Pelodiscus sinensis: one gene and its partners. The main gene of each other region encodes a partner of the protein of the gene in region 3 in a complex. Links are inferred from orthologs where the notes say so. Each region holds a gene or a part of one and is shown on either strand. Other genes may lie near its edges. The genes, in order: EIF4EBP1, TARS1, EIF4E2 and GIGYF1.

Evidence for each region.
Region 1: the proteins of EIF4E2 (region 3) and EIF4EBP1 are in contact, whole or in part, in a crystal structure (PDB 5NVN), measured with the Homo sapiens proteins. The link is inferred for Pelodiscus sinensis from reciprocal best matches to the Homo sapiens genes EIF4E2 and EIF4EBP1. Residues at the interface, in NP_004837.1 of Homo sapiens: Glu53, His54, Pro55, Leu56, Gln57, Tyr58, Tyr64, Arg66, Lys83, Gln84, Ile85, Gly86, Val91, Glu92, Gln93, Trp95, Arg96, Phe97, Ser99, His100, Met101, Val102, Leu107, Phe113, Glu149, Asn150, Leu153, Gly157, Glu158, Gln159; in NP_004086.1 of Homo sapiens: Arg51, Ile52, Ile53, Tyr54, Asp55, Arg56, Phe58, Leu59, Met60, Cys62, Arg63, Ser65, Val67, Thr68, Lys69, Thr70, Pro71, Pro72, Asp74, Leu75, Pro76, Ile78, Pro79, Gly80, Val81, Thr82, Ser83.
Region 2: the proteins of EIF4E2 (region 3) and TARS1 are in contact, whole or in part, in a crystal structure (PDB 5XLN), measured with the Homo sapiens proteins. The link is inferred for Pelodiscus sinensis from reciprocal best matches to the Homo sapiens genes EIF4E2 and TARS1. Residues at the interface, in NP_004837.1 of Homo sapiens: His54, Pro55, Leu56, Gln57, Val91, Glu92, Phe94, Trp95, Arg96, Glu149, Asn150, Leu153, Leu156, Gly157, Glu158, Gln159, Met161, Val203; in NP_001245366.1 of Homo sapiens: Pro51, Glu52, Tyr53, Ile54, Tyr55, Thr56, Arg57, Met60, Tyr61, Ile63, Leu64, Glu67.
Region 4: the proteins of EIF4E2 (region 3) and GIGYF1 are in contact, whole or in part, in a crystal structure (PDB 5NVK), measured with the Homo sapiens proteins. The link is inferred for Pelodiscus sinensis from reciprocal best matches to the Homo sapiens genes EIF4E2 and GIGYF1. Residues at the interface, in NP_004837.1 of Homo sapiens: His54, Pro55, Leu56, Gln57, Tyr64, Lys83, Gln84, Ile85, Gly86, Val91, Glu92, Trp95, Arg96, Phe97, Tyr98, Ser99, His100, Met101, Val102, Arg103, Leu107, Phe113, Ile137, Arg138, Leu139, Arg140, Gly142, Leu143, Ser145, Arg146; in NP_001362694.1 of Homo sapiens: Leu36, Ala37, Asp38, Tyr39, Arg40, Tyr41, Gly42, Arg43, Met46, Leu47, Leu49, Tyr50, Glu53, Asn54, Lys55, Val56, Pro57, Glu59, Leu60, Glu64, Phe65, Ala67, Val68, Leu69, Gln70, Asp71, Glu72, Pro73, Leu74, Gln75.

The regions. Positions count from the first base shown.
Region 1 is NC_134738.1:15,247,695-15,255,162, forward strand, and holds the start of EIF4EBP1 (eukaryotic translation initiation factor 4E-binding protein 1), read left to right. Parts: upstream 1-4,464; 5' UTR 4,465-4,580; coding exon 4,581-4,722; intron 4,723-7,468. UniProt on the Homo sapiens protein: Repressor of translation initiation that regulates EIF4E activity by preventing its assembly into the eIF4F complex: hypophosphorylated form competes with EIF4G1/EIF4G3 and strongly binds to EIF4E, leading to repress translation.
Region 2 is NC_134716.1:107,887,927-107,895,594, reverse strand, and holds the start of TARS1 (threonine--tRNA ligase 1, cytoplasmic), read left to right. Parts: upstream 1-4,668; 5' UTR 4,669-4,710; coding exon 4,711-4,872; intron 4,873-5,286; coding exon 5,287-5,364; intron 5,365-6,250; coding exon 6,251-6,441; intron 6,442-7,668. UniProt on the Homo sapiens protein: Catalyzes the attachment of threonine to tRNA(Thr) in a two-step reaction: threonine is first activated by ATP to form Thr-AMP and then transferred to the acceptor end of tRNA(Thr).
Region 3 is NC_134720.1:49,306,341-49,313,554, forward strand, and holds the start of EIF4E2 (eukaryotic translation initiation factor 4E type 2), read left to right. Parts: upstream 1-4,213; 5' UTR 4,214-4,229; coding exon 4,230-4,366; intron 4,367-5,919; coding exon 5,920-6,034; intron 6,035-6,774; coding exon 6,775-6,909; intron 6,910-7,214. UniProt on the Homo sapiens protein: Recognizes and binds the 7-methylguanosine-containing mRNA cap during an early step in the initiation. Acts as a repressor of translation initiation.
Region 4 is NC_134734.1:8,963,618-8,971,162, forward strand, and holds the start of GIGYF1 (GRB10-interacting GYF protein 1), read left to right. Parts: upstream 1-4,545; 5' UTR 4,546-4,692; intron 4,693-7,545. Other genes in the region: chloride channel protein ClC-Kb-like, read left to right, coding at 2,106-2,192, 2,468-2,575. UniProt on the Homo sapiens protein: May act cooperatively with GRB10 to regulate tyrosine kinase receptor signaling. May increase IGF1 receptor phosphorylation under IGF1 stimulation as well as phosphorylation of IRS1 and SHC1.

The DNA of each region.
Region 1 (7,468 bases), on a different chromosome or scaffold from region 3:
GATTTAACGAATCACCTCGTTTGCATGAATACAAACATGTGGCCAACCTTTCATCAGCTTGCTAAAGTGCCAGCAGGCGGGCAGGGGGCCTGCAGATGGACCGGCCCCTTGGGGAGAAGGGCTGAGCTGGAATCGGAGTGGCAGGGTGGTCCTGCAGATCGTGGCTGCCAAATGACTCACCACAAGAGGGGTGACTTTGCTCCAACGCACAAACACTGTTCATCTTAGTCACCTGGGGGCGCCAAGAAAGCTTTAATCCTAGACATACCCGGACACCAAGCAAAACTGCAGACTTACACACGGCTGCTCATCACATCTTCTGGGACTTGTGTGTGCACAGCCATTCACGGTAAGGGACCAAACTCAATAACAACACAGTTACACCCAAAACACACCTGTATGCGCACCCACACACACATACCCATGTGTCCGTGCATGCTCACACACCTATATACACTGACATGCCTGCATGCTAACATCCAGGCATATACACCTATCTCAAACACACACAAAACAAAAAACAACAAGGAGTCCTGTGGCACCTTAGGCTACATCTATGTACTTAAAAACTGGAGCATGTCCCCTCTCCATCTTCTCTTTTCCAGAGTAAACAAACCCAATTTTTTCAGTCTTCCCTCACAGATCAAGTTTTCTAAATAACCTTTTAATCCTTTTTGGTCGCTCATCTCTGGACTTTCTCCAATTTGTCCACATCTTTGCAGAAAGGTGGTACCCAGAACTGGACACCAGTCCTACTGAGGCCTAATCATCGCAGGATAAAGCAGAGGAATGACTTCTCATGTCTTGCTCGCAACACTCCTGCCAACGCATCCCAAAATGGTGTGAGCTTTTTTGCAACAGTGTTGCACCATTCACTCGTATTTAGCTTGTGATCTGCTGTGACACTGCCCTCTCCTCCCCCCCCCCCCCCCCCCATCTTTCTGCAGGACCCTAGACAGTCATTTCCCATTTTGTATGTGTGCAACTGATTGTCCCTTCCTAAGTGGAGCACTTTGCATTAGTCCTCGTTGAATTTCATCCTATTGACCTCAGATCACTTCTCCAGTTTGTCCAGATCATTTTGAGTTTTGACCCTATCCTCCAGAGCACTTACAACCCCACGTCTGCATCACAGTGTCATTAAGCCATGCTCAGCATTTATCTTGAAACTAGGAACCACTAGGTCAGTAACAGATCTGTGGGGCATCAATTCTTGGAATCGAATGTGGGTCTGACCCAGATCCAATCTGAAGTGAGTGTTCAGAGTTGTGGGATCCCTGCTTTTGATTCAGAGATTCCAAAGGGATTGTTGTAAGCAGCTAGCCAGCCAAAGAACGTCTCTGAACTAATTCCTAGAGTAGATCATAGAAAAATATTGGACCGCGATATAAATATTGTAGTGATGGAGAATTTGCCAAGACCCTGGTTAAAATTGTTCCAATGGTTAACTGCTTTCACCATTACACCTGATTTCCAGTCTGAATTAGTCTTGCTTCAGCCTCCAGCCCTTGGATCATGTAATATCTTTCACTGCTAGACTGAAGAGCCCCTTGTTAAATATTTGTTCTCTGTATAGGTATTTCTAGATTGTAATAAAGTTACCCTTTAACCTTCCCATTCTTAAAACTAAATATGTCTATCACTACACAATATCAAGAGTAGCTCTGTTACTTTCTACCAAAACAACAAGGAATCTGGTGACACTTGCAGAAAAACGAATTTTATTATGGCATACGCTTTCATGAAAGCATATACCATAATAACCCTGTTAGTTTTTAAGGTGCCACTGGATTGATTTTCACTACAAGGCATGCTTTCTCGTCCTTTCATGGTTCCCCTGGCTAGTCTCTGAACCCTCTCCAATGCAGCCACATCTGTGCTGAACTATGGGAACCAGAACTGGACACAGTATTGCAGCCGCCGTCCCACCCGCGCCAAATACAGAGGTAAAATACCCTCCTACAGTGTGGTGGTGAGTACTGTATGAAATGCAGAGGCAGAGAGAGAGAAAGACTGGCGCTCTCTCTGGTACTGCCTTTTGTGTGAGTCGCGGCATTTGTTTGACTCCATACGATGCTGATATTGAATCAGGAATTCCGGAAAGGGCCATTTGTGGTGCTTTGTGTCAGCCTCTCTCTCCCGTCACCTCGACAGGTGAGCTTTCAGCGGGAATGCAGGTTCACGCGTTTGTGACACTCATCACCCGCCAAGCGCCCAGGGGAGTAGGCTGTGAATTCTATCACTGCACAAATGTCTTGAGCGGTGCTGAAGGCCTCCCAGGAGGACCACCCTTGCTGTGGCTGCCTTCTCGGGAGGGACGCAGGGTGTGAAGTGCCCCGCTGCAGGAGGAAGCTGGGTAGCAGGAGTGGGGGCACGGTTAGAGGGGAAATGGTCCCAACGCGCTCATCACATGGGAGCACACTGTGGGACAGGCGGAGAACCTCTGTCGCAGAAATCCTTTCTCAGCCCCCTACCACCAAACCAGCCCACGGCCATGGCAATGCCTGGGAGGCTGCTCCCAAACCTGCCGTGAGGGCGAGGGGCTGGACTCGATGACCTCTCGAGGTCCCTTCCCGTCCTATGATTCTATGATTCATATTGCCCAAAGGTATTTCCTTCCTTGCCCTGCTTTGTCTGCCGGGACTACAAAGCCCCTGGGCCGGACTGGGCGTGCAGAGTAGCAGCAGGCTGCCACGCGTCCTACTGGCACGGGGCGAGGGCTAGTGGGGGCAGGGGGACGAGTGATTAGGGAAGGGTGATCTGCGGGGGGGAGAATGGGCAGGGGAGGGGAGGGGAGACATGGCGCTTGGGGGGAGGCTGGGGCAGCAAGAGGAGCCGGGGCAGGGGAGAGGAGCAGGCTGACGGGCAGGGGGATGGGGAGGGGACGGACTGGCAGCAAGGGGAGGAAGGGGGATGGGAAGGGGAGGGGCTGGGAGGAGAGGGCGGGGCTGGAGGAGGAGGGAGGGACAGCTGGAGGAGAGGGCGGGGCTGGAGGAGGAGGGGGGGCAGTTGGAGGAGAGGGCGGGGCTGAGGAGCAGCCAGTGGGATGGGAAGGGGAGGGGCTGGGAGGAGAGGGCGGGGCTGGAGGAGGAGGGAGGGGCAGTTGGAGGAGAGGGCGGGGCTGGAGGAGGAGGGGGGGCAGTTGGAGGAGAGGGCGGGGCTGAGGAGCAGCCAGTGGGATGGGAAGGGGCGGGGCTGGAGGAGGAGGGAGGGGCAGTTGGAGGAGAGGGCGGGGCTGAGGAGCAGCCAGTGGGATGGGAAGGGGCGGGGCTGGAGGAGGAGGGAGGGGCAGTTGGAGGAGAGGGCGGGGCTGAGGAGTAGCCAGTGGGATGGGAAGGGGCGGGGCTGGAGGAGGAGGGAGGGGCAGTTGGAGGAGGGGCGGGGCTGAGGAGCAGCCAGTGGGATGGGAAGGGGCGGGGCTGGAGGAGGAGGGAGGGGCAGTTGGAGGAGGGGCGGGGCTGAGGAGCAGCCAGTGGGATGGGAAGGGGCGGGGCTGGAGGAGGAGGGAGGGGCAGTTGGAGGAGGGGCGGGGCTGAGGAGCAGCCAGTGGGATGGGAAGGGGCGGGGCTGGAGGAGGAGGGAGGGGCAGTTGGAGGAGAGGGCGGGGCTGAGGAGCAGCCAGTGGGATGGGAAGGGGCGGGGCTGGAGGAGGAGGGAGGGGCAGTTGGAGGAGGGGCGGGGCTGAGGAGTAGCCAGTGGGATGGGAAGGGGCGGGGCTGGAGGAGGAGGGAGGGGCAGTTGGAGGAGGGGCGGGGCTGAGGAGTAGCCAGTGGGATGGGAAGGGGCGGGGCTGGAGGAGGAGGGAGGGGCAGTTGGAGGAGAGGGCGGGGCTGAGGAGCAGCCAGTGGGATGGGAAGGGGCGGGGCTGGAGGAGGAGGGAGGGGCAGTTGGAGGAGGGGCGGGGCTGAGGAGCAGCCAGTGGGATGGGAAGGGGCGGGGCTGGAGGAGGAGGGAGGGGCAGTTGGAGGAGGGGCGGGGCTGAGGAGTAGCCAGTGGCAGGGGAAGGGGCGGGGCTGGAGGAGGAGGGAGGGGCAGTTGGAGGAGAGGGCGGGGCTGAGGAGTAGCCAGTGGCAGGGGAAGGGGCGGGGCTGGAGGAGGAGGGAGGGGCAGTTGGAGGAGGGGCGGGGCTGAGGAGTAGCCAGTGGCAGGGGAAGGGGCGGGGCTGGAGGAGGAGGGAGGGGCAGTTGGAGGAGGGGCGGGGCTGAGGAGTAGCCAGTGGGATGGGAAGGGGCGGGGCTGGAGGAGGAGGGAGGGGCAGTTGGAGGAGGGGCGGGGCTGAGGAGCAGCCAGTGGGATGGGAAGGGGCGGGGCTGGAGGAGGAGGGAGGGGCAGTTGGAGGAGGGGCGGGGCTGAGGAGTAGCCAGTGGGATAGGAAGGGGCGGGGCTGGAGGAGGAGGGAGGGGCAGTTGGAGGAGGGGCGGGGCTGAGGAGTAGCCAGTGGCAGGGGAAGGGGAGGGGCCTCAGGCGCCGCCGTTGCCGTGGTGCCGTGCGCGGGGCGGAAGGGGCGTGGCCGCCGGCTGCTTCCGGGCGGGCGCGGGCCGGGGCAGGGGGCGCGCGGCGCTCGGGCAGCCCCAGTCGCCATGTCCGGGAGCTGCCGCCAGGGCCACACGCCGAGCCGGGCCATCCCCGCCAAGCGCCTCAGCCTGCCCGACGGGGCCGCGCTGCCGCCCGGCCACTACAGCACCACGCCGGGGGGCACCGTGTTCGGCACCACGCCGGGCGGTGAGTGGGGCGGGGCCCCCCGGGCGGGACCTCCCCCCCCCCCCCCCCCGCGGAGCCGTGAGCGGAGCGCGAGGGGCCGGACGGGGCTGGGGGTTGGGAACGCGCCGCTGCTGGAACTTGCCCCGCTGCATGTTTGGGGGGGCGCCCAGGGGGCCCGTTTAGAGCCCCCCCCCCCGCCTGCCCGCCGCTGCCTCGTGTGCACCCACTTCCCCAGCCCGTAGGGCGCTCGGCAGGGAGGCGGTGTCGCGGGGCGGGTGAGGGAGGGAGGGAGGGAGCACTGTGCAGAGCTTGGGGACAAAGGGGGCCCGACGCAGGGATAGGGGGCAATAGTTTGGGGGTCCCGAGACTGGGGCGCTCGTAGGTGCCAGAGGGAAACAGGCGGGGCTGTGCCCACGGGGGTTAGCACCAAACACTGGTTCACCCAGGACACCTGTTTCCCTAAGTCCAGCCCTGAATTGAATATATTCAAAGTTCTGTCAAATGTACAATGTAAATAAGTGGGTAGGAGGTTTTTTTTCACTAATATTACATGTCAAGTGACCTTAGGAGGTGCATGTAACAATAGTAGTTTTTTTAAAAAAAGAAAAAAAAAGACAGAAGTATGAAGATTAAATGGGTGTGTTTAAAAACAACAACAACAGTTGGGCTAGCCTGAGAGAGTCTTGGCACAGAAACTGAAGGTCTTAGTTTCAGTTGTGCTAGGTATCCATTTTGTGCTCTGAGAGCGCAAGCAGTAGGAATTCTTAAACATTAGGCACCTCTTGCAACAATTGTCACAAGTTTAGGAGAATTGGGATCAACTGATTATTTTCCAATACATGTTCTGCAGTATATTTGTTAGGGATGCTAAGTATCGGTTAATCGAATAGTCGAGTCACCTCATGAATTCTTATCCGTTAGTTGACTATTCTCTAGTCCCCGGGGGTGGGGCCGGCAGCCACTGTATTAGAGGCAGAAGCGTGGGGTACCAGGAGGGAGCTGGTCTATGAGGGGAGCCAGTTTAAAAACCAGCTCCCCTCACAGACTGGCTGCCTGTTACCCTGTGCAGCTGCCTCTGATAAAGAGGACGTTTCTCAAAATATCTAATCACTAGTAATAGCCTTTATTTTCAAGAATCCTGTTTAGTTTCTCAGTGATTTGGATAATCCAGAGAATGAATATTTTAATGTGTGCTTGTTTTTAAGATTTGAAAAACTAGGGTGAGTTTAAAAGCTCCATATCGCACTTCAGTTCTGCTTTTATCTGTTAACTTACATTTTATTGCTGTTAGTACTTACCATATGTTTATGTTCCCATGGCTATTCTTAGAATGATTAACAATGGAGTTTTAATCTCTCTTTCCCAAGACTACTGTCAATAGACTCTAAAATAAAATTCCTTCAAATCTCCCTTTAAAAAATTTGAATTAAGCAAATACTAACAGTTCTTAACACGGATCAGCCACACAGATCTTTCCTGTGCTGATCCATAAACCAAATAATTATTATGAAAAGGCAATTGCACTTCACTGTTCAGTAAGCTTTCAGGAGCAGAGACAGTTCTCAGGTGCATTCCTATGTTAAACAAATGCTTGTTCGTTTGAAAGGTTTAGGTGTAAAAACCTTTAGCAAAATGTTACTGTTTATTAACACGTGTACAGTGAAGCATTGTAAACAATACATCAGGTTGCACTTCAGAATAAAGGAGCAAATGTAATAGGGCATGGAACACCCATTTCTAATTTTAAAGAGCCAAATATTATACTCTTTAATCTCCCAAACAGTTCCATTGATTTCAGTGGAACTGTGTGGGGAATACAGGATTTAGTGCCAAAATCAGAAATCTGCAGTAACCGGTTCAGCCATTGGTGCAAATTATCACGGTTCCATTGGTGTATTAGAGGCCTGATCTACAGACCTAAACTTTAGGTTGACCTAGCTGAGGGACATAGTTAAGCCAACCTAAGCACTGGTAGAGACACTGTTAGATTGAAGGCAGAATCTTTAATTGGGGTACTGTCTTCACGATAGTAACATAGCTGCAGCTGTGTCTGTAGCACAGACATATCCCAAGTCTAGTGCTGAGGAAGTTTGGAAGCACAAATGGCTTTCAGAAAGCATTGTCCTGTAATTTAAAAGTGGTTTGCCTAATTTCGGTAAGTTCAAAGCCAGCTCAATATATGTTTTCTTCCTTTACCTTGAGTGAAAATGAGTTATGGGGTGATACTGGAATGTGATTTCTCAGAGAACATGAGAGAGCTAGACCTGAAATAGTCATTTTAGTCTCTTGTCAGTACTATTGCAGTGAGCTTATAAGGTTTTGAATGATTTATTAAAGACCACTGATTAGGATGCTCTTCACAGCTCCAAGCTTCTGCAGGCTCTGTAATAGGCTTTCTGCAATAGGCTAATCTTCACACTGCAGAAAGAAAGGGAAACAGTTTGGTTTTTCAATCACTGCACACATGCGAGGCAGCTCTTCTTTGCTGCTTGCTCCCCAGTTCTGACTGTAGGATGGCTCCACTAAGACAGAGGAGCTCTACCTGGATTCACTCGTCCTTAGGTGACCCTGAGAGGCACCACTGGCATCCCTCACCTCCACTGTAGACTGCTGTTGTCCGTGAGGAGCTCAGAGCGGATGGTTTTGAGCATCCCAGTTTGGTTGCTGGCAGAGGGATTTGCCAGTATGAAGAATGTTCCTGCAGTGTACGGTGCCTGTCCCCTTCCACCCATTGCTAATGGACTTTGGGTTGGCAAGACCTCGCTGT
Region 2 (7,668 bases), on a different chromosome or scaffold from region 3:
GAAGGTTTAAATCCAAAGCAATTCTCAACCCATTTTTAATTTTAAAACTGCAAAAAATTTTATGTTCTTAAGATCATATTTATGGTTAAATTATTAGATAGTGGCCTTATTGATTGTTTTTCCTATTTGTCTGTATAAAGATTAGTATAAGTTTACTAATGTTAATCTCCTTTGTTTGTCTTTTAGCTTTTCATTAAGTCTGTAACATTCAACATGGTCTACTGCCTAGTACAGTAAATTTTATTATCTGACTGTAACACCTAAAATCTAGAGCACCAAATCATTGTTGCAAGGGCCCAGAAAGCAGCCAACACAATAAAGATTCTCTGTGCAATGTAGGACTTACATAACCACCCTTCACCTATTTTATGGTTCCAGGGCAAGAGGTACCTTTTGAGCCCTCATGCCTGATCTACATTACAATGTTAGGCTGACATACCTTGTCTTGTGTGGACCTTATTTGTGCATATGTCTACACTAAAGCCTATCTCTGGCTAATGTAAATGCCCCATTACACCAATGTAATAACACTACTTCCTTAAAAGTGGCATGCTTGTGCTGATTCAAAATGCAGTATACCATGAGTAGGTATCCGTGTGCTTATCTGGTGCACAATCTGGTGCAGTTCCTCGTAGGAACTTTTTTCAGAACGGTGTGGGAAGGAAATTCACTTGTTCAGGGATCTCTGGAAATAGGGGTCAGTTTTCCATCATGCAATGCCACCCATATCCCATAATTTATGTACCTTTTAAAAAAAAATCTCACAAACCTATGTGGAATTTTTTGCTGTCTGCCATTTCTGACAGAAGCATAGAGCCTACTGAGTACTACACTATTATCAGGAAATGAGCATTGCAAATACAATTATTGCCTTTATATAAATAGATGGTATGCCTATATCTTGAATACTCTGTACAGATGGGGCCACCTTATCTCACAAAAAGATATGTTGGCATTGGTAAAAATGAGATAAAAAAGTTCAGGAAAGGGCAACAAAAATGATTAGGGTATGGAACAACTGCAATATGAGGAGAGATTAAAAAGGCTGGGACATTTTACCTTGGAAAAGAGATGACTAAGGGGGAATAGGACAGACAGAGGTCTTTAAATTCATGATTGGTGTTGAGAAAGTAAATAAGGAAAAGTTATTTACTTGTTCCCATAACACAAGAAACTGGGGGGTATTGCCAAATGACATTAATAAGTAGCAGGTTTAAAACAAATAAAAGGAAGTATATAGGGATATTTATGTGCAGCATGATGTCATGTAGTATATTGGGAAAGGTAATGAGCTGCTGCCATGGAGTTCTTCAAGGACTGTAAATGGCAGGGAATCAGATTTTTAAATGAATAAGTCAATCAGGGTCCCCCAGCATTTGGGTTTGCTGTATGAGAAGACTGAGGTTCGTGTACAGCTCCCTGTCGTTTTTCTGCTAGAACTCCTATGTACATGCAGTTCATCATATTGGTCTTCCAGGCTCTGGACCAGACTGTTGAAAGTGAAGCAGGACAGGGGAGGGAGGATGGAATGAGCAGGGGCAGGGGGCCTTGCAGGAGCACAAAGGAGATGGGGCAAGGGTATTTGGGTTTGAGATAGATCTTGAGATGCACTTAAAGTCAAAAAATGATCTTGTGCTTAAAAAGGTTGGAGACCACTGGTGTAGCTGGAGTCTAGCTACACTGCTGGATGTTTCTTTGTGGACTTTTGCAGCTCAGGTGTGAATTACAACAGAACCACTCCAGTTTATACTACTGGCCATTCTCGCAGACCCAGTATCCTAGTGGTGTAAATCACCTTTGTCCCCCACCCTTTGGGCTTAGAATCAAGGCCCATGGTTGTGCTCATTCAAAAAGGAACAGTCCTAGTCTTATAGGCTGTGTCTACACTGGGCCACTTATTCCAGAAAATCAGCCGCTTTTCCGGAATAAGCTGCGAGCTGTCTACACTGGCCCTTGAATTTCCGGAAAAGCAACAATGCTCTACTGTACAAAATCAGCCACTATTCCAGAGAAACTATTCTGCTCCCACTCGGGCATAAGTCCTTATTCCGGAACACTGTTCCGGAAAAGGGCCAGTGTAGACAGCCCAGTAGTCTTTTCTGGAAAAAAGCCCCGATCGCGAAAATGACAATCAGGGCTCTTTTCGGGAAAAGCGCGTCTACATTGGCCACAGATGCTTTTCCGGAAAAAGGGCTTTTCCGGAAAAGCAGCCTGCCAACGTAGACGCTCTTTTTCCGGAAATACTTATAACGAAAACTATTCTGTTTTAAGCATTTCCGGAAATTCATGCCAGTGTAGACACAGCCATAGAGTAGTTGTAGCTATGTCAGTCTCAGGATATTAGAAAGACAAAGTGGCTAAGGTAATAGCATTTATTGGACCAACTTCTGCTGGTGAGAGTGAAGTTTCCAAGCCACAGGGAGCACTCCTTCAGGTCTTCAGCACAGAGCCAGGTTCCAGGGTGAGGTTACAAACTGGCCTAGCCAGCTCTACCAACTGATGCAACAGAGAGTCAGGACTGTTCCCATTCCGGAAGCCAAGAGGCGGGTGTGGATAGACTTGACAGAGAAGGAAAACTTGTCTCTCAGCAGCGGGGCCAATAAAACTATTAGGCCAAGGCCCACCGCGTCTCTCTAGCCGGAGTCCCTCTCCCTGCAAGAGGGCGTCCGAAGGGGACCAGCCAGGCAGGCCTTTTAGCAAACGGGGCTGGGATCGCAGTTCAGCTCTGGAAGCCCGGGACGGCGAGAACAAGGCAGAGGGGGGGGGGACTCAAGCCGCTCCCTTAGCAAGCGGAGCCCAGCAAGGATGGCTGGTAGCGGGTTGCAGGGCCGCCTACGTGGGCTAGTCAATCCTCTCGACGCTCCCTACGGGTCATCGGCTCCTCGCTCGGGCCCACCCGCGGCAGGGCGGGGCCGCGCTCCAGGCGGCAGAGGGCTGGTCCTGGGCCGCCCGCGGCGGAGCTCACTGGTCTCACGTCAGGCCGGGCGGAGCGATGGCCCCGCCCTTTGACAGGCCCTGTCCCCACTCGGCGCCCAGCCAGGCGGGGCCCAGCGCTGCTAACTCCGCCCGCTTCCCGCGGTCGGAGGCGGGATCAGCCGCGCCCCCAGTTGCATCAGCTGCCGGAGCCGGCTGGGCCTGCGTGCGGAGCGAGTACGGGCAGCGGCATGGCGGGGGCCGGGAGCCAGGTGAGCGCCGCGCCGGTCTCCGGGGCTCTCCACGCGGCCCCTCCGGCCTGGGGCTGGGTTTGAACCGCGGGCCGAAAAGCCCCTGCGCCTTGGGGCCGGGTCACACACTGGCTGCTTCCCTCTGCTCCCCACCCGGCCCCGTGGCCGGTTGCCCTCTAGCTCCAGCCGGGTGTCTTAGCCCCGCCGGCCCTTTGGGGTGGCTGGGTGCGTGTGGTCTGGCAGCGCCAGCGGGGCGGGTGTCCCCCCCCCCCCACACACACAGCGCTCCCTTCTCCTGCCATAGGGGCTGCAAGGAGGGGAGTGTGATTGGGGGGATAGTGCTACAGCATCCCGAGGCTTGCAGTGGTTTCCATTGTACTCAAGGTGTACAGCTGGTTCGGTGACTCTCAGCACCCCCACTGTACACATTGTGCCAGCCCCCCTGCTTCCTGCACTGCAGAGCTGGCAGTCTAAATTGCCCTTCTCCTGCCCTGGTTCCCCATAAAGTCCATGGGGCTCGGTGCAGGCACAAGAGCTGCACTGATCTGATGCAGGATCTGGCCAGATGAACTCAAAAAAGAAACTGAAACAGTGCCAGAAAGTGCATGCAGGAAATGACCAGCATATACCGAACCACCAAGTAACTATCTTCTCGGTTAAAGCGCTGAGGAGTCCTGTGGCACCTTATAGACTAACTGAAGTGCATAAGCATAACTGGAGCATAAGCTTTCGTGGGCAAAGACCCACTTCGTCAGATGCATGTGGCGCCTGTGGTTTCACAGGACTCCTCGCCGCTTTTGCAGATTCAGACTAACACAGCTCTGATACTATCTTGTCTGTTTTTATCCTTTCTTCCAATGTTGTTTCACTTTCCTCATTAAATTACCGGTTCTTAATCCGTGATTTAAATGTGATGGGATGCACCACGTTCAACTTTAAGCTCTGGACAGCTCTGACTTTAAAAAAAGCATAGAACTATAAGCAAGGTGTTTTACGGGGTATAGAAAAAGGAAGTAGTGTAGTCAACTAGCCGATAAGCAAAAGCTTATAAGTTAATGCTATATACTATGTACATAGTACTTCCCCCTCCCCCCCCACAGCCACTACATTTTTTAGTAGTCTGGCCAGCAGCCCGGCTTAGTTCCGGCTCCCGCTGGGTCCAGGACCTACCCCCGCTGTGGCTCTGCATTTAAAGTGTATTAGGAGCCAGGCGGGCAAGCAGTCGGGCTTAGTTCCAGTTTGCGCTGGGTTTGGGAGCTCACCTGCCACCCCGGATTGCTGTTTCTTTATCAGAGGCAGCAGCACAGGATGCCAAGCAGCTGGTCTGCAAGAGGAGCTGGGTGTTTTGGGTTTTTAAACTGGCTCCTCTCGTGGACTAACTCCTGCCTGGCACCCTGCGCTGCTGTTGGCCTGCCCCCAGGGACTATAGAATAGTCGACTAACCAATAAGAATGCACAAGGTTACTCGATTAGTCAGTTAACCGATATTTAACATCTGTAGTGTGAACCTTATCCTTGGGGAGCCCTGGTCAGGTGGGAGCGAAGCATGTCCACGGACGCTGGGGACCTCCATCCCCGGGGCAGCAGCAGGACCGATGAACCCCATCCCTGGCGCGGATCCCCTGGCGGGAAGGGGAGAAACAGGGCCACAGAGGCTAGACAGCTCTGTCCCGGGGATCCCTGGCTGGACAGAGCAGTAACGGGACCGGTGAGTGGCAAAAGTGGGCCAGCCGGCAAACCCTGTCCCCAGGAAGCTCTGGACAGCAGGGCAGCAGCAGGATAGGCAAACCTTGTCCCAGGTAGGGATCCTCAGTAAGGCGGGGAAGAAGCAGGACTGTGGATGCTGGGGAGCTCCATCCTGGGGAGCTCCAGCAGGCGGGAACCCATGTCCAAGGCCTGCAGGCTGGAGCCCAGTGGCAGTGGGGCTGGCGCGGAGCCAACTTCAGGGAGAGGGAGCGTCCTGAGAGGCCATTGGCAAGGGACCTCCCCATATCCTGCAAATTCCCTCATTCGGGATGGGTCAAGTCCTGAGGGGGTTGGACAAGGGAGGTCCAACCTGTAAAAACGTGACCTCGAGAAAGATGAGTACAATAAAATTAGTTCATTTTACCTTTTTTTTTAGATACATGCTGGGGAAGAGAAGAAGGAAGGGGGAAAGAAGAAAACCAAAGAAGGGTCTGGTGATGGAGGCTGCACAGAGGTGAATTTCCAGTTCATTTATATGTTTTTAAATAGTTTAATTTCATTGCTGAATGAAAAACCAAAGACATCAGTGCACTACACCTAGGCTACGTTTAGACTGCATCCTTCTGCAGACAGAGGGATTCAAATCAAGCACTTCGAAAGTGCAAATGAGTCTGGGCTTCAAATATCCTGGGCTTCATTTGCATACTCATGTTCGGGTGCTGTGCCGATCAAGCGCCCTTTTGAAAGTGAAAGTAAAGTCTAGCCGCGACAGCGGGGAGCTTTTTTGGCAGATCCTGTACTCCTGAGGATCCCCGCTGTCGGTAATAGGTAAAAGTGTCGGTAATAGGTTAAATGGAAGAAGGAAGGAAGTAAAGATGGATGGAGAAGATGGAGTGTCAATACAGGTTAGCTGGGATGTTAGAAGGATTGATTTATTATTATAAGGTTGAGTCAGAATTTGTACTTCTAGGAGGCAAAAGTAGGAGATCTTGGCATATTTAAGTATAAAAGTTTTATGCTTGTAATTTTGCAGTATTGTGCTCTTAGACTCTTCCCATGCTCTCATTTATTACTGTGATGATAATGTCAGTCTTTTTTTCCAGCATATTTTAAGCTCTGTTAGAATTTGTCCATCTCAAACTGTTGTTGCAGTGCATTAACTGTTTTTTTTTTTTTTTTTTTTTTTTTTTTTGCTAAGAAACTAGCCTGGCCCCTCTTCCTTTGGAAAACTGTCATAAGCGCCCAGGCCCAAGTGACTTAGATTCCTTGGTCCATTGAAAATCAATTACATTCTGATTCCAGAAAATGTACTTCCTTTGCTTAATTTTCAAGTTTATTTTACATTAGAACTGGAAGTCTTTGATAAATACTTCTCCTTCCATCCATTCTTTTATGTGTAGCTGAATCCTTGGCCTGAATATATCGATCAGCGCCTAGAGATGTATCATAAACTTAAAGCAGAACATAATGCACTTCTAGCAGAAAAAGCTGCAAAAGACAGTAAACCCATTAAAGTCACATTACCTGATGGCAAGCAGGTTGATGCTGAATCCTGGAAGACCACTCCCTATCAAGTTGCTTGTGGAATTAGGTATGACTGACTTCTATGATCTATGCTATCACTTTCAGAAACAGCTACTGCAATTTGCATATGTGATCTTTTATAGTCCTTAGCATGGTGGGTTATTTATTTCTTAATACAACTTAATTTTCTTCAAGGCTATCTTGTTTTTATTATAAACCAGAAGATTTACCTAACATTCCTTGGGTCCTTCAGGGCAGGAGCTTGGGGATGTGTGGGGGTGCAGGGCAGGGGATTGAAGGTGTCAGGGGTTCAGGACTCAAAGTTGGGGGGGTCAGAAGGGGCTCAGGGCTGGCGGTGGGAAAGCACAGGAGCCAACTCAAGCCATGTTGCCTGGGGTTCAGGTTCCCAGGACTGGCCACGGCGGGGACTGTGCTAGCCAGAAGTGGGTGGGAGGCTTACTTCTTCCTCCTGCTGTCCCAATGGGCTTATAGCTGTCCTGGTCCCCATCTCTGGTCCCTTGTTTCCCCCCTGTGGTCATTACACAATATAAATATTCCTGCTAGCAGCCCCTCCCTTTCTGTGTTATGAAGAACAATCGCATTCCAGGCACATCCATTGTCCTGGCACAACCAAACCCTTACCTTGCTTTAAGTTATGTCAAGAGGAAGCTATATACCAATTTTAGTGGTCCTAGCTCTTACCATTTAGGAGGAGTCTTTGAACAGATAGACTCACTTGCTCAGAGACAAACTCTGTCAAATATATAGTAGATTCAAACTAAACAGCTTTCTCATTTCAAAACTTAATTCTTTGCCTTATGAAGATGCTATTTCTAAAATTAAAACATTATTTGTGCTGGATCCTGTAGGTACATAAATATGAGAGTAACTTTTACTAAGTGAGTACACTTGTTGAGTTGGAAACAAATCAAGCACATGAGTAATATTACTCACATGTATGAAATGTTTGCATGATTGGTTGCTAGCGCATCACATAGTTTAAACTATCCTGCATTGACATGTGGGGACAAGTCTGTAAATTTCAATAGGAGTTGATCATAAAAATATCTTAATTTAATTATCAGCTATATATTAGAGAGAGTCTGGCTATTCAAGAACTCCTAAATAGTAAGAGCTAGGATATCAAATTTGGTATACAACGTCCTCTTATCATAGGTAAGGATCTAGTCGTGTCAGGAAAATGGGGTGTGCCTGGAATAGGATTGCTTCTCAGAAAACCATATAGAAAAGAGACAGGATCACCAGGCAGGTGAAAAGATGAAAGGGGGTGGCT
Region 3 (7,214 bases):
GTACTTGCAGAGGCTCTGTGTCTCTCAGAAGCACCAAGAACCCAAAATGTCAGCAGAAGTCTGGGCATTCAGGGGTGCTTTTCAAAATATGCGACCAAGACAGCACAAGGAGAGCTGGGCAACAGCTGCGGATATAAGGCAGGGCGAGCGGTACGGCTGCCCTGGGCCCTGCGCTTCAATAGGCCCCGTGCATGCGTTACTACCTGTTGGCAAAATTGTGCTGCCTTGGGTCCCGTGCTTCAATAGGTCCCATGCTGTGGGCCCCGCAAAACTCTCATCCACCCCTGCTGGGCAAAATCATTCCCATTACAAAATCTTTTTCCATTGCAAACTGAAGATTTGGGCGGATGAACACAAATTGCAGATCTGGGTCTAGAACAGCTCATTGTTTTTGTCAGAATTAAAACAAAATCTGGAGGTCAAAAGAGTTTGTTCAGCATTTAAAAAAAAATGTGTTGACTTTTTGTTTTGGAAAGGTGTTTTGCTTTGGCAATGCCCTCCATTTTATTTTATTTTTTTTAATTTAAAATAGGCCTGAAAATTGAAATAAAAAAAAAATTCATTTTGGGCGATGTGAAACAAAACTTTTTTTAGACATTGCAGCTTGTCAAAAATTCCACATTTTCATTTCAGCTTACCCTGAGACAAAATTCTGTTCCTGATTATTTTTCCTCCCAGATCTGCCACCAAACCAAACCAAATTAGTGTTTCACACAACCCTAATTTCATCAGAGCTACCCCAAACCCAGGGCTGCTCTTAAAAGGCTTCTCAGAGAGACAAGGTGGGTAAGGTAAAATATTTGATTGGACCAATTTCTGCTGGTGAATGGAACATCTCTGAACTGCACATTACTCCAGATAGGCAGTTATAATAGTCAGTGTAATTGCAAGCCAATGTCGCCATCTAATGGCCATGGTTGTTCATTAAAAATAAGATTTTAAAAAAATATATTTTCTTGACTCATTAGATTACACACCCATTAAATAAAATGGAATTTGGAAAGAAAAACAAAGATAATCTTTATTATCTAGCAGAGTTCATCTGGCTGTTGGATAATTCAAGTGAAGAGGTTGAGAAAATCATGCTTAAGTGTTTCTGGCCTGAGTTGTAATAGAGATGTAGCCGTGTTAGTCTGATCATGCTGAAACAAGAGAAAGAACTATGCAGCACTTTAAGACTAACAAGATGGTGTTTTAGGTGCCCACAAAAGCTCATCACCTAATAAACCACCTTGTTAGTCTTTAAAGTGCTGCATAGTCCTGTCTTTTGTTCTGGCCTGAGTTGTTATGCTAGCAAATATTGTAACCATATAGAAGCCTGACGTGGGGCCAGTGTCAGCCTGAAGGCAGCAGGCATTTGCTCCCCAGGAGCAGAAATTTAAGCCCCTCAATAAGTGATCTGATATTTTCTGGTGTTGAACCCAACTTCCAAGAAGGGCTTCCAGGGCTGAGAGGGGGAAGAGAGATTAGAAGTGAACAGGCATGTAGGGCAGCACCATGTGGTCGGAGTGCCTGCTTCAGGTCTTTGAACATTTAGGTCTGTCTTTTTCAATGCCAGCCCTCAAGGGCAGGAAGAGAACATGAGCCAGGTGCAGCTACACTAGTCCAACTGCCCAGGGGCCCATACTGCAGCCAGGTAATATAGGCTGATTTGCATCCTAAAACAGGGAGCCTAATTATAGCTAGAACAAATTAATTGCTTCTCAATCTGGGGAGGACCTCAGGGCCTGAAAAGAGAACAGATGCGGGTCGGAGAGGACAGAAGTGAAAGTCAAAGATTCAAAATAGGGGAAGCAAACAGGGATCCTGAGCAGAGAACCCTGGAGAGCACCCACTGCTGCGCGAAGGAGTCAGGAGAGACCACCTGCATAGCAGTAAGGAACCGCGATGCATGCCCCAGTAGCAAAGACCCTCCGAGCTGCACTTCCTGCTCCTGGTTTGGTAAATGGGCGTTTTAGCCAACCCAAGAAGGGCTCCCTGCAGCCCCACAGATGGGGTGGGCATAGCTGAAGAAATGCGGGGGAAATAGGGTTGCCAGGTGTCTGGTATTTTCACCTCCTGTCTGGTAAAGAAAAAAATTCAGAAAATACCGGACACCTAAAAATATCCGGTATTTTCTGTTTTTTTCCCCTGCCAGGAACTGCAGAATGGCCAGGTGTTGGGGCTATGGTGAACCAGGCCCATAACCCTGGCTCCGCGAAGCCCCAGCTACCCCTGGACCAAACATGAAACACAGTGGTCTGTCAGGGACCCTTCACCCTCTACAGATGGTAAAAGTCCTGCCACTTTGTATCAGGGCCAGACACAAGGGTGTGGAAGTAGATTAAGGTGTTTGTTAGCATTCTACTGACAGGTCCTGCCCACAGGGTTGTGGGAGACAGGGGTGTGTGGATGGCGGGGGAGCGGTGTCAGCCAGTGCTGTGTGAGAGAGGTACTAGGGGACACATACAGGCAGGGTTGCCAACACTCTAGGATTGTCCTGGCATCTCTAGGAATTAGTGATTAACCTTTAAAAACAACTTTTAAATATGAGTCGTCCTGTGGCACCTCAGAGACTCACAAAAATATAAAGAGTATCATGAGCGTTTTTGGGCAAAACCCTCTTCTTCAAGACCATTTCATCTGATGAAATGGGTTGTGTGCACGAAAGCTCATGATAGATATCTATTTTGGTTAGTCGCTCAGGTGCCTCAGGACCACTCGCTGTTGTTAAAATGACAGACTAACTCGCCTGCCCCTCGGAGACTGATTAATCTTAACACGATGCTATTCGAGGAAACCTACAGGAATACATCCTACTGGTTGGGGGGAGCAGATGCTTGCCATGGGCGTTGGTGGGGGATGGAAGATGGTGGCCATGGGGGTGGGGGGGATAGAAGATGCTGGCCATGGGGGGGGGGTTTGCTGGCCATGGGGGGGGGTTGCTGGCCATGGGGGGGATGAAAGATGCTGGCCATGGGGGGGGGGGTTGCTGGCCATGGGGGGGATGGAAGATGCTGGCCATGGGGGGGGGGTTGCTGGCCATGGGGGGGGGATGGAAGATGCTGGCCATGGGGGGGTTGCTGGCCATGGGGGGGATGGAAGATGCTGGCCATGGGGGGGGGTTGCTGGCCATGGGGGGGGATGGAAGATGCTGGCCATGGGGGGGGGGTTGCTGGCCATGGGGGGGGTAGAAGATGCTGGCCATGGGGGGGGGTTGCTGGCCATGGGGGGGGATGGAAGATGCTGGCCATGGGGGGGGGTTGCTGGCCATGGGGGGGATGGAAGATGCTGGCCATGGGGGGGGGTTGCTGGCCATGGGGGGGGATGGAAGATGCTGGCCATGGGGGGGGGGTTGCTGGCCATGGGGGGGATGGAAGATGCTGGCCATGGGGGGGGGTTGCTGGCCATGGGGGGGATGGAAGATGCTGGCCATGGGGGGGATGGAAGATGCTGGCCATGGGGGGGGGGTTGCTGGCCATGGGGGGGATGGAAGATGCTGGCCATGGGGAGGGGGGTTGCTGGCCATGGGGGGGGGGGGTTGCTGGCCATGGGGGGGATGGAAGATGCTGGCCATGGGGGGGGTTGCTGGCCATGGGGGGGATGGAAGATGCTGGCCATGGGGGGGATGGAAGATGCTGGCCATGGGGGGGGGGGTTGCTGGCCATGGGGGGGATGGAAGATGCTGGCCATGGGGGGGGTTGCTGGCCATGGGGGGGATGGAAGATGCTGGCCATGGGGGGGATGGAAGATGCTGGCCATGGGGGGGGGGGTTGCTGGCCATGGGGGGGATGGAAGATGCTGGCCATGGGGGGGGGGTTGCTGGCCATGGGGGGGATGGAAGATGCTGGCCATGGGGGGGGTTGCTGGCCATGGGGGGGATGGAAGATGCTGGCCATGGGGGGGGGATGGAAGATGCTGGCCATGGGGGGGGTTGCTGGCCATGGGGGGGATGGAAGATGCTGGCCATGGGGGGGGGGGATGGAAGATGCTGGCCATGGGGGGGGGGGATGGAAGGGGCTGGCCAGGAGGGGGAGGCGGGGAGGGGGCTGATGGGACTGAGGCGCCCCGGGGTCACGTGGCGGGTGGGAGATGGGCGCTGCGACGCCACGTGCCTGGGGGCTGAACCCCGCGGGGCACGAGCCCTTCACGCGGGCTAACCCCGCCCACCGCGCCACGCTCAAGATGGCGGCCCGGCCACCCGTGGCTGTGACGCCCTGCGTGGTCTCGCGAGAACGGCCCGCGCGTCCATGGCGCCGGGCGGAAACCCGCGGCCGCGCTGCCAGGTTCCGTGCCCGGAAGTGGCGGAAGGTGGCTGGCGCGGAGCGGAAGTTCCCCGGAGAGACGGGCGGAGGCGGCGAGCGAGGATGAACAACAAATTCGACGCGTGAGTCTGAGGCCCCCCCCCCCCCGAGCTGCGGCCCGACTGACCGGCCCGGCGCCGCGGTCCCCCCCCCGGGGGCCCCGAGACGCGATGAGTCACCGGGACGCGCGGGGGGGCCCCGGCTCCCTCTGGCCGGGGAGCGGGTCCGGGAGCGGCGGGCAGGCGGCTCGGGGCGCTGCTGGGCCTTGTCTCGAGTGACCCCCCCCCGGGCAAGGCCCGTTCCCAGCCCCCCCACGAGCCTTTCCCCAGGCCCCACGTGACTCTGTCACCCCCCTCCCCCCCGCTCTGGGACGGGGCCAGCAGCCCGCGCCAGGCGCGTGTCGGGTCGGAGGCTCGCTCCGGTCTTTGCCCCGGTGCCGGTCTCGGGAGCGTTGGGAGGCCGGTTCCGTGCAAGATCCGCCTTGGGGTTCGACTCGCTCACGCCCTGCGGGCCCAGGCGCAGGGCAGCCCCGGGGGCTGGAAAAGTCACCTCCTGGAGAGCTGTAGTGAAGGCTCGGGATGCAAAGGGTTAACCAGTTACCCGGTGAGCATCAGCCTGACTGGTAAGCTTACCTACTGACTGGCTAATTGGGGTCCAGCCAGAGCAGCGCTGCCTGTGGCGCAGCATAGCAGGCCTCCTTCTCCCCCTGACTCACAGCGTCATGGCGCAGGCAGGGGGCTGCTCCAGGATTAACCGGCTAGACGTAGTCTTTAACTGGTTAACCCACAGTTTACATCGCTAGTTATGCTGCCCCGATCCCCAGAGTAGATACCACTAAGTTGACAGAAAAATTCTTTTATTAACCTGAAGGAGTAGATTTATTCCAGTGATTGGAAAAAACACTTTCTATTGCTGCAGTAAGTATCTATAGAGCCTGGCCTGGATACCTAATTTGTATCTGCAGCTGCGAAAATGATCTGTAGATATTTGCATCCACCTCTGTGGATATAAAGTGGGTGTCCACAGATTTGCAGGGCTCTAAGTATCTATGCAGCAAAGCTGCAGGTGTGCCACTGTAGAATTTGTGGTGTATACATACCTTTAGAAACTCAGGTAGTCCTGTGGCACCTTAGAGACTAACAAAAATATATAGACTCATGAGCTCTTGCGATGAAGTGGGTTTTACCCATGAAAGCTCATGAGTCTTTATATTTTTGTTAGTCTCTAAAGTGCCACAGCACTATTCATTGCTTTTAAATTTACAGATTAACACAGCTATCCTTCTGAGACTTGAGGAACTTGGCCTCTTTTCCCTTCTTTAGCTGATTGCTGTCAGTATTAGTTGGTGAATAGGCCCCTTAGTGATGTGTATGTTATAAATATCTTTGCTTAGTTCCCTGTTAAGAGTTGATGCTTAAGTTTGGGGTGCCTGTAGGCCAAGTGGTCTGAGACAGGTGTAGGGCGTGTAGGCTTTCTCGTGTGTAAGAATCTGTCGTCAGTAGACTTCCAACATAGACTCCTTTCTGCCAGTGGTTTGTGTCTTGGAGGAGGGGTCAAGTAATGTAAGTCTGATTTTGTAGGATGGCACCTCAGCCAGGAGCCATAAAGCTCATTCTTTGTCCCTTGCCTTTGTTAGTTTGAAAGATGATGATAGTGGGGACCATGACCAGAACGAAGAGAACAGCACACAGAAAGATGGTGAGAAGGAGAAAAATGATCGTGACAAATCCCAGAGTAGCACCAAGAGGAAGGTGAGTTCTTGACATCTCCTGCCATAATCAAGGGACAATTTTAGGCTTGAAATTCTGGCATCTGCTTGTGGTCAATGTGTCTCAGTGTATGGAGTATATCTAGGAATACTGTCCTGGCTTAGTGCTGTGATAGCATTGTGATGGGGAGCCATGTTAAATAGACTTTGAGTTACCTGAACATGAGCCAAGCTGAAGTATTTTCTCTGCTAGTGCAGCCAGAACTCTTTGCATAGCAAATTGTGGTCCATATGGAGATGGAAAGCAAAGCTGGACTCTTCCCCAGACAGCTTTTTGGAAAGTCTTGGTGTGGGGGAGCTTCCCATCACTTTCCCACATCAGCTGTGGGCTTTTTAAATGGTCTGCGTTTCTTTGCTGCCAGGGACTAAAGAGAATTTAATGCAGAGTTAATGCTCCTCAATCGTCAGGAGGACTTTCTATTGAGAGACGTTCCTCTTGGGAGTAAGCAGCAGCATCGTTAGCGCACCTAGTCCTACCAGATTGGGGAACAAATGTGCTAGGGCTGTCTAATATTCGATATGAAATCTAGTCAGTTGCTGTCAAACTAATGGTCTGTGTCAAGCTATTAACGTGAGATGAGATTTTTCTAGGAAAATGAGGTACACCGTTCATCTTACATTGGGAGCGTCTAATGGTGTGGGCTTCTAATGCTATGAATGTTACTTGTTCAGTCTTCCCTGGAGAGACATGTGAGAGGATAAATGAGCTTCTCTGTTCCCCAGGCTGTTGTCCCAGGGCCGGCTGAGCACCCCCTGCAGTATAATTATACGTTCTGGTACTCCAGACGAACACCTGGGAGACCCACCAGCTCTCAGAGCTACGAACAGAACATCAAACAGATTGGCACTTTTGCCTCGGTGAGTACACTCCAGTTGTTCCATTTTAGTGACCAAACATAGGGCAGGTTCTGGGAGTAGACTTTTCTCTGTGGTTATATACCTTTCACAAAACATAAAGGAAAACAGTTCATCTGCTGTGGCCATAGTGTTGGCTTCTGATTCACCTACAATAGATGACAGCCCTAAAAGAGACCAGGAAGCAGCATTGCCTGCCTTGTTCTAGGGGTGGGGCCTTCACTGATGGTAGCAGTGGAAACAGAACTCCCTCAGCTTGAAAGTAATGGCATGTAAGAAGCATTTCCATTCCTCCTTATGTCTGGCAA
Region 4 (7,545 bases), on a different chromosome or scaffold from region 3:
ATACAATTAGGGAAGGAAGGGCTGACATCCATTTGTGCATGCAGTTAGGGTGGGAGAAGGTGGCAGGTATATTTGCATATTAAATTTGGTGGTGGATCTTAGTAAATTTGCATAGTCAATCAGGTGGGAGGGTCTGGCATGTCAGTTTGCATATGCAATCAGGATGGGAAGATGCGATCTTCCAGAACTCTACCACATAGCAAAGATCTGGCCTTAATGCAATACAATTTTTCATGTATTAATTAGCAACACAGGATTTAAAAAAATAATTAAATTCAGAGTTTTAGATATATGCAACACTTATAAAATATTTTAATAGATTTTTTTATTCTTACCTTAAGCCATTAACACCTAGGTAAACTTTGTTTGAAATGTACTCATGCGGCTGCATCTAGACTGGCAAGTTTTTCCGCAAAAGCACTTGCTTTTGCGCAAAAACTTGCCAGCTGTCTACACTGGCTGCTTGATTTTGCGCAAAAGCACTGATGTTCTACTGTCCGAAATCAGTGCTTCTTGCGCAAATGCTTTGACGTTCCCGTTCGGGCAAAAGCCCTTTTCCAGAAATGTTTTTGTGCAAGAGGGCCAGTGTAGACAGCTAAAAACTGTTTTGCACAAAAAAGCCCCTATGGCGAAAATGGCGATCGGGGCTTTCTTGTGCAAAACCACATATAGATTGGCATGGACGCTTTTCCACAAAAAGTGCTTTTGCGGAAAAGCGTCCGTGCCAATCTAGACGCTCTTTTCCGCAAATGCTTTTAACGGAAAAACGTTTCCGTTAATAGCATTTGTGGAAAATCATGCCAGTCTAGACATAGCCATGCAAGTATTCTGGTACAAACACTCATCTTATGCAGCCAGCCCCATATCTCCTTTCTCAGGAGGCTTGAGAGTGCTGAGTTCCTGCCTTTCTCTCCTGGGGCGGATTGGACTCTCCAAACTTTCCTCTGCTCTGACTCCACTTCAGCCAATTACCCACCCACCCACCCACTCACTCACTCCCCCCCCCCAGTCACTTATTGTCTCCTTATCTCACTTTTTATTACCTGCTCTGGGAGCTGCTCCATTTCAAGCATGGAACAGCCCAGTTTAACTGTTTGCTCAGCAAGATGACATATTTCCCCTGCCGGTCAGCTGAGCTTCTTGCCTGCATGAGAGCTTTAAACTTCTGAGCAGAGCTCAGAAAACAGCTATGCCATCATGCAGCCATGCAGCTTACTGGAAACTTAGGTGGGAGGGGTTGTGCATTTGCATATGCAAATGAGCACTGTCTGCACATTTGAGTTGCTTGCTCATTTGCATATGAACAGTATAAGTGGAGACTTATTTGCATACTCAATAAGCAATACTCATTTGCATGTCATTTTGGTCCTCTCCCCCCTGCCCCCCTCCCCATCACTGAGGTACAGGGAGCCACTGGGCCCTGAATCCCCATCCGCAGCCAGACATGACTCTCCGCCAGCAGGTAGAACAGATAATGTATTAGTTCACAGGGACACATTGTAAAACAGACTTGTTACCCCAGGAACCAGAAGCAGCCAATACAATTTGTCTTAGGGAGAGGGAGGCCCAGAGCCAGGGCCCTGGGTCCCCTCCCTGTCTCTTAAGCCAGCAGAGACTAATTCACACACTTAGCTACTGGTCCCTGCCTTACTGGCAGTCCCACTTCCTCCTTTGTCCAGCTTCTCAGGCAAAAGGTGTCCCTTGTTTTCACCTCATGTTCCAGGGACTCTTGGCCATTGTGAATGTGCTTGCCTGGGCAGCCTGGGGCAGCCTCCCCTCAGTGAGAGTCACACCCAAAATTCCCATCTCCATCGGGGCACTGGTGCAGTGCCTAGAGAAACTGAAGCATGCACACACAGAGTTACTACAGAACAGTACAGGACAATGGAAATCACATGCAACATAACAAAGTGAACAGAGCGAATAGAATCCCCACATTGTCACCCCCTGATAATGTGCCACCTGCTGCCAAGAGCCCCCCCCCCCCCCAGCCCCACTGTCCTGCAGTCTCAGTGAGGGCTGATCCCTAACCCTACCCTATTTTGATCCATCCTCCCCTCCTCAGTTTGTCTCCTGACATGCACACACCCATTTCTGCTCCACAGTGTTATGACCTCTTTAACCTGCTGGGACTGCGGACAGCATACGTCACCAACATGGGCCAGCTGGTTGGTGTGGTCAGCCTCCGAGAGGTAGGGCTGAAGGGTGGGAGGCACAGGGGGGCATGGGGTGGGGAGCACAGGGCTGTTGCATGGATCCTGGAGAGGTCAGGGAGCTCATGAGGAACATAGGGGGCAGGTTGCAGGGTCTACTGGGTCAGGGAGAGTCTTTGGGGTTCAAGAAATTCAAGGAAGGAGCCGGGGCAGCAGGTGGGGGTTATGGGAAATGAGGGGGTTCAGGGATTTGGGGGCTGAGAGGTGATGGTGTGGGGTGTGTCCCTGACGTGCTGCCTCTGTCCCCCAACCAGCTCAAAGCCGCTGTGGAGGGATCAGTCAAGGGCACTTTCGCCAAGCGCCAGCCCCATGATGAGGGGCAAGTCGAAGGAGACCCCGATCCCAATGGATCCTCAGCCTAGCAGGGACTGGAACATGCGGCCTACTCCTGATTCCACATTCCTCTGGAGCCCATGGGGGACAGGGCAGGGGGAGCTACCACTTAGCCCCTCTCTGTTTCTCTTGCACTCCAGCTACAATAGCCCTGGCCATTCCAGCAACCCCTAAATTATTAAACCTCCATTTTCTGCCCTCACTGAATAATGTGAGTAACTTTTGGCAGCTCCACTCAAAATCACCCAGTAAAGATCCAGTTACATTTTTTGTCGGTGTTTATTATTCCTCCTTTCTACATCTTTCTAGGGGGCTGGACGGTTAGAGCTGTGGGCTTGGGAGCCAGGACTCCTGGGTTTTCTGTCCAGCTCTGAGTGGGGAGTGGAGGCTGGTGGGTAGAACAGGGAGGCAGACTCCTGGGTTCTCTCTCCTGAATGTGGAGATGTGATGTAACAAGCTAGTTGATTCTGCAAGCAGGCAAAGAGACTCCAGCCACAGTCATGATGGTCATCGTGGTGCCTGGATGTGAGATGATGCCATCATGTTCCTACACAATGACAACATGGTCTTGTGTTGTCACAGGTGCACTGTGGGATGATGTTTTTCCGTTGATGATATCGTAGGGTAGATGTAACCTCTCAGCATTGTGTTTGACATCAGGGCCTTCTGCTGTTGATATGCTGGAAGCTGTGTTTGGTCACTGGACACCCCAGTGACTTTGTGGCTGCATTTGGTGACATCATAGTCTCACATTGCAGCATAATGCCACAATATCATCATGCACCATCAGGAGTTGCCAGGAGGAGTATGTGGGGCTATGGTAGACTGAGGAATAACTCAGTGTCCTGAGATAGTGACCTAGGCAGCGGGGCCAGGTGGTGGCACTTTTTACTGATAGGGTTGCCAGGTGTCCGGTATTGACACGGACCGTCCGGTATTTTCACCTCCTGTCCAGTAAAAAAATTCAGAAAATACCAGACACCTAAAATGTCTGGTATTTTCTGATTTTTTTTTCCCGGACAGAAGGCGAAAATCCCAGGTGCTTACCAGGTTCCGCAGGGGAGCTGTCCGGCCCGGAGCAGGAAGACAAGATGGTGGGTGGCCGCCAGCAGCCTATTAGGGCCAAAAAGCCTCAAAAGAATTTCTTAAAGGGGTCACACTTTTTTTTTAATTAAAAAAAAATTTTTTTGCTCAACAACTTTGGTCTCCCCCTTTTTTTTCTCAATAGAATTTTTCCCTGGTGTTTTATTTTTTTGGGGGGGGGTGTTCAGTATTTTTTGTTAAGCCATCTGGTAACCCTATTTACTGAGGCAGCGTGACACAATGGCAGCTGCTGAGATAGTGACAACACAGGGCTGGGGTTGACATCGCAAGGTGACACAAGGACATCACACTGCCTTCTGGAGACGTTATCTGGTGAAGCAATGACATGGTGCAGATGAGATCACAGGGCAGGACAGTGACAGCAGAAAGCCATGTGATGACATCACGTGAGATTGATGATGTCATAGGGCTCGTAGTGACATCACATGGACACAGTGTGTGACAATTGCACCACAGGTCTTGGTGGTAAAGCCGACTGGTGACCTCACAGTTCGGGAGAGTGGTGACGTCACCGTCTTCTAAGGAGGGGGTCCATCGTTTTGTGAAGGGATCGTCACGTGACCCGAACGCGTGACCTGGGTAGTACGTCGGGCCAAGGCCGTCGTCCGTCACGTGACGCTGTGGCGCGGGGGCTGCTTTAGCCTCCCTGCGCAGGACTATGGTGGCGCCGGGAGGGGGTGGGGAAGGAGAGATACGCGCGCGGCCATAGCGAAGCGCGGGGTCACGCGAGCCGGGCGGCAATTTGGCTTCTCCCCTGTCATGTGGCTCCCGCGCTTCCCCCTCCTCTGCGGGCTCCACCCCATCACGTGACACCCTCCTCCTGCGGCCGAGCTCCTGTGTCACGTGGGCCCTTGAGCTCCCCCTCCGCGTTCCCTCGTCACGTGACGGGGCTCCGTGCCGCCATCTTGGTACAAACACAAACAAGCGGCGATAGGCGGCGGCGGCGGCGAGAGACCCGGAGTCCCCCCCCCGCCTTCCTGCCGCGCGCGCGGCTAGGCCCCGCCCCCTCCGCGCCAGGCCCCGCCCCCCGCTGGGCGCCGCGGTGAGACACGGGGCCCTTCCTTACCCGGCCCGTCGCTATGGAGATACCGTGGGGAGGGGGCCCTAGAAATCCCGGGCCGGGCCCCGCGGAGGGGTTGGGGCGGCCCCTCCTCGACATGCCCGCAAAGCCCTGGGAGGCGGACAGTGGGGTGCCATCGGGAGGGCAGGGAAGGGGGAACCCTTGGGGGAATCGGCTGAGGGGTGTTTGGTGCCAGCCCTCGGGTGTGGGGGTGCTGTCCCGGCTCACCCCCCTCCTACGCAAATGTTCCTGGAAGTGGAGTGCTAGGGGTGGGGCTGCCTCCTTGCGGATGCTGTGCAGACCCCTGCCTGCCCCCTTCCCTCAAGGATGCGCCTCTGCCCCCCAAGTGCTGTGCATTGGTTCCCCTCTGCCCAGGGATGTGCATTGATCTTCTGGGTTGGTCCCCTTTCCTGACTGTGGCTGTAGAATTGGCCCAGACATTGCTGTGTCAAACTTTTCTTGTTACCCCACTTTCCCATTCCAGGGCTGGTGGACAAATTGGGGGGAGGGACTCGTTGTGGGGGGCCTCAGAAGCCCCCTTGTTTCTTGTTGTTCAGGCTCCCTTTCCCAGGCTGTGTGTGTGGGGTATTTCTCTAGCTACCTTCCATTGCAGGGACGTGTGTCGTGGGTGCTGGTTGTCTTGCTGCCCTTCTGCACAACTGGCAGTCTAGCCAGCCTCTGCCTTTTTGCCTAGATATGTGTTGGCTCCTTGCTCTTGCATGAATTTCTAGGTCTCACCTATAGTTGCAGGGATTTACTGAAAGAATTGAGATGCCAATGGAATTGAAAAGCCCCAAGCCTGTTACATCAAACATCACGTCCCCTGTTTTGCTGGGTGTCGCACTGAGATTGTGGTCCCTGGTTGTGCCACATGTTGCATAGGCACACCCCCACCCACCCAGATGAGATCAGGGGTCGGCCCCTGTTGTGCTAGGCACTGATGTGGCTGTTGTCTGAGGGAATGAAAGACACTTTTAGCTGGCAAAGGAGTTTACGTATGAACAAGTTGTTCTTGGGAAGACCAACTGGGGGAACGGTCTTGTTGGAAATAAGGTGTTCGTTTTTGACATGGTGGGTAATGACTCATTGGGACAACATACTAAGGTTTTGGAGTGTACTCTCCAGGCTGTATTCCTGAAAACCCTGCTTTGGGTCTGCCTTCAGAGAGTCAGAGTAGATATTCACAATGGTCCCTTGGGGTCTCTGCCCACCACTCAAGTGTCTGCTCTATTCTGCACTGGGGCTAGGTACCCAAGCGAGTTTGTAGATGCTCAGGGCAGCAGGAAACTTTCTGAGCTATACAACACTGGCATGGCTGACTTTCAGAAAAATGAGTTGCGGGTGTAAAGCATGAAAACAAATGTGGCGCTGCATAAAATATCTTGGCATAAGAGTAGGTGCAGAATTCATTGGCTGTATTATAACAATAACAGGGATTTGGGGGAGCCCTGTATTACAGCTGTGCTGCATAGCCTCCTCCTGCCAACTGAGCTCAAGGGGCCCCCCAGTTGTGCCAGGTGGTGCACAGGCCCCTGCTGGGTGAGCTCAGGGGCTGCCCTTTGTGCAGGGGGCTCCTCGCATGCAAGGAACCCTGTATAGCTTGGCCTAACGTTGTGAGGGCAAACTGAAGCACAGTGAAGGGAAAGCAATCAGATGGTGGCGGAGCTGGGGAGAGAACCCTGGCATACCAGTGCAGTGGTGTTGCTTCCTCTGGGACAAGTGCTATACAAACCTGTGCTGGAAGAGCTTACAGGCTGCTCCCCATTGGTCATCCTGAGGTCCAGATGAAGTCCTGGCTAGTATGAGAGCCTGTGTGCGCTCCGCCTCTGCTTTGCTGCCATCTGTCACATTACTCACTACTAGGAATGCTTGGTCAAAGGGGTGTAACCACTAGACCCCAATGGGGCACCTGAAAACTGCCAGCTTGATAGAGTGACTGTGGTTTACTAAGTCTGTTCCCTCAATACAGCTTGGGAGACATGGTCACCAGGGCTCTGCTGCAGGGCTGGGCTTAGACCTGGGATCTTGGTCTCCCAGCTTTAGATGCTGCATTTCAGTGTTGTCATCTCGCTGCCCTGAGAGGCAGAAATGCAATTTTAAAATCTGCATTGGGGCTGGGTTTGGAGTAATCCAAGAGACCATGAAAAGGTGACTTGATCCTGGTCTCTATTGTGGGGAGAGAGCTCTCTGAGGGTGACTCAGTGCTGGGGAGCTGCAGTGAGATTAATTCACACTAGAAACAAGTCACAGCTTTGGACCAGGGAGGGAAATTAACTAGGGATATAATCGAGGAGTTGAGTATTCGACTACCTGATAAGGCTGTGCTTATTAGGTAGTCAAGTCAATTACTCAACTACTCATTTCCCCCACTCCTTGATGCTTCTGTCAGAGGCAGCAGGAGGGGGGTGGTGTAGGGGAGGCTGCTGTGGGCTGAGACTGGTCTGGCAGCAGTCCCTGTCCTCTGGGGTCCCAGTGGAGAGCTGGGTCCCTGTTCCCTCGCAGACAGGGGCTGGTGCTGCAAAGCAGTCCCTGTTCGCAGTGGCTCAGGCTGGCCATGGGCAGAGGCTTCTCCAGCAGCAGTCCCAACTGCCTCGAACAGGGGCTGCTACTGGGCTGACATTGCATCGACTACACAATTAGCCAAATAACTGCTCTTCAACATTCTTAAAATTAACCTATTGCAGCAACTGACCCATTGCAGCAACTGATGAGTGGGTTCTCCCGCTCCTGGAGTTTGAATCGGGTTTGGGGAGTGTCTTTCTAAATGATATGCTCCGTATCAAGCAGAAATTTGGGCTTGATACAGGAAACCTGGGACAGTCAGTTCTCCGATTT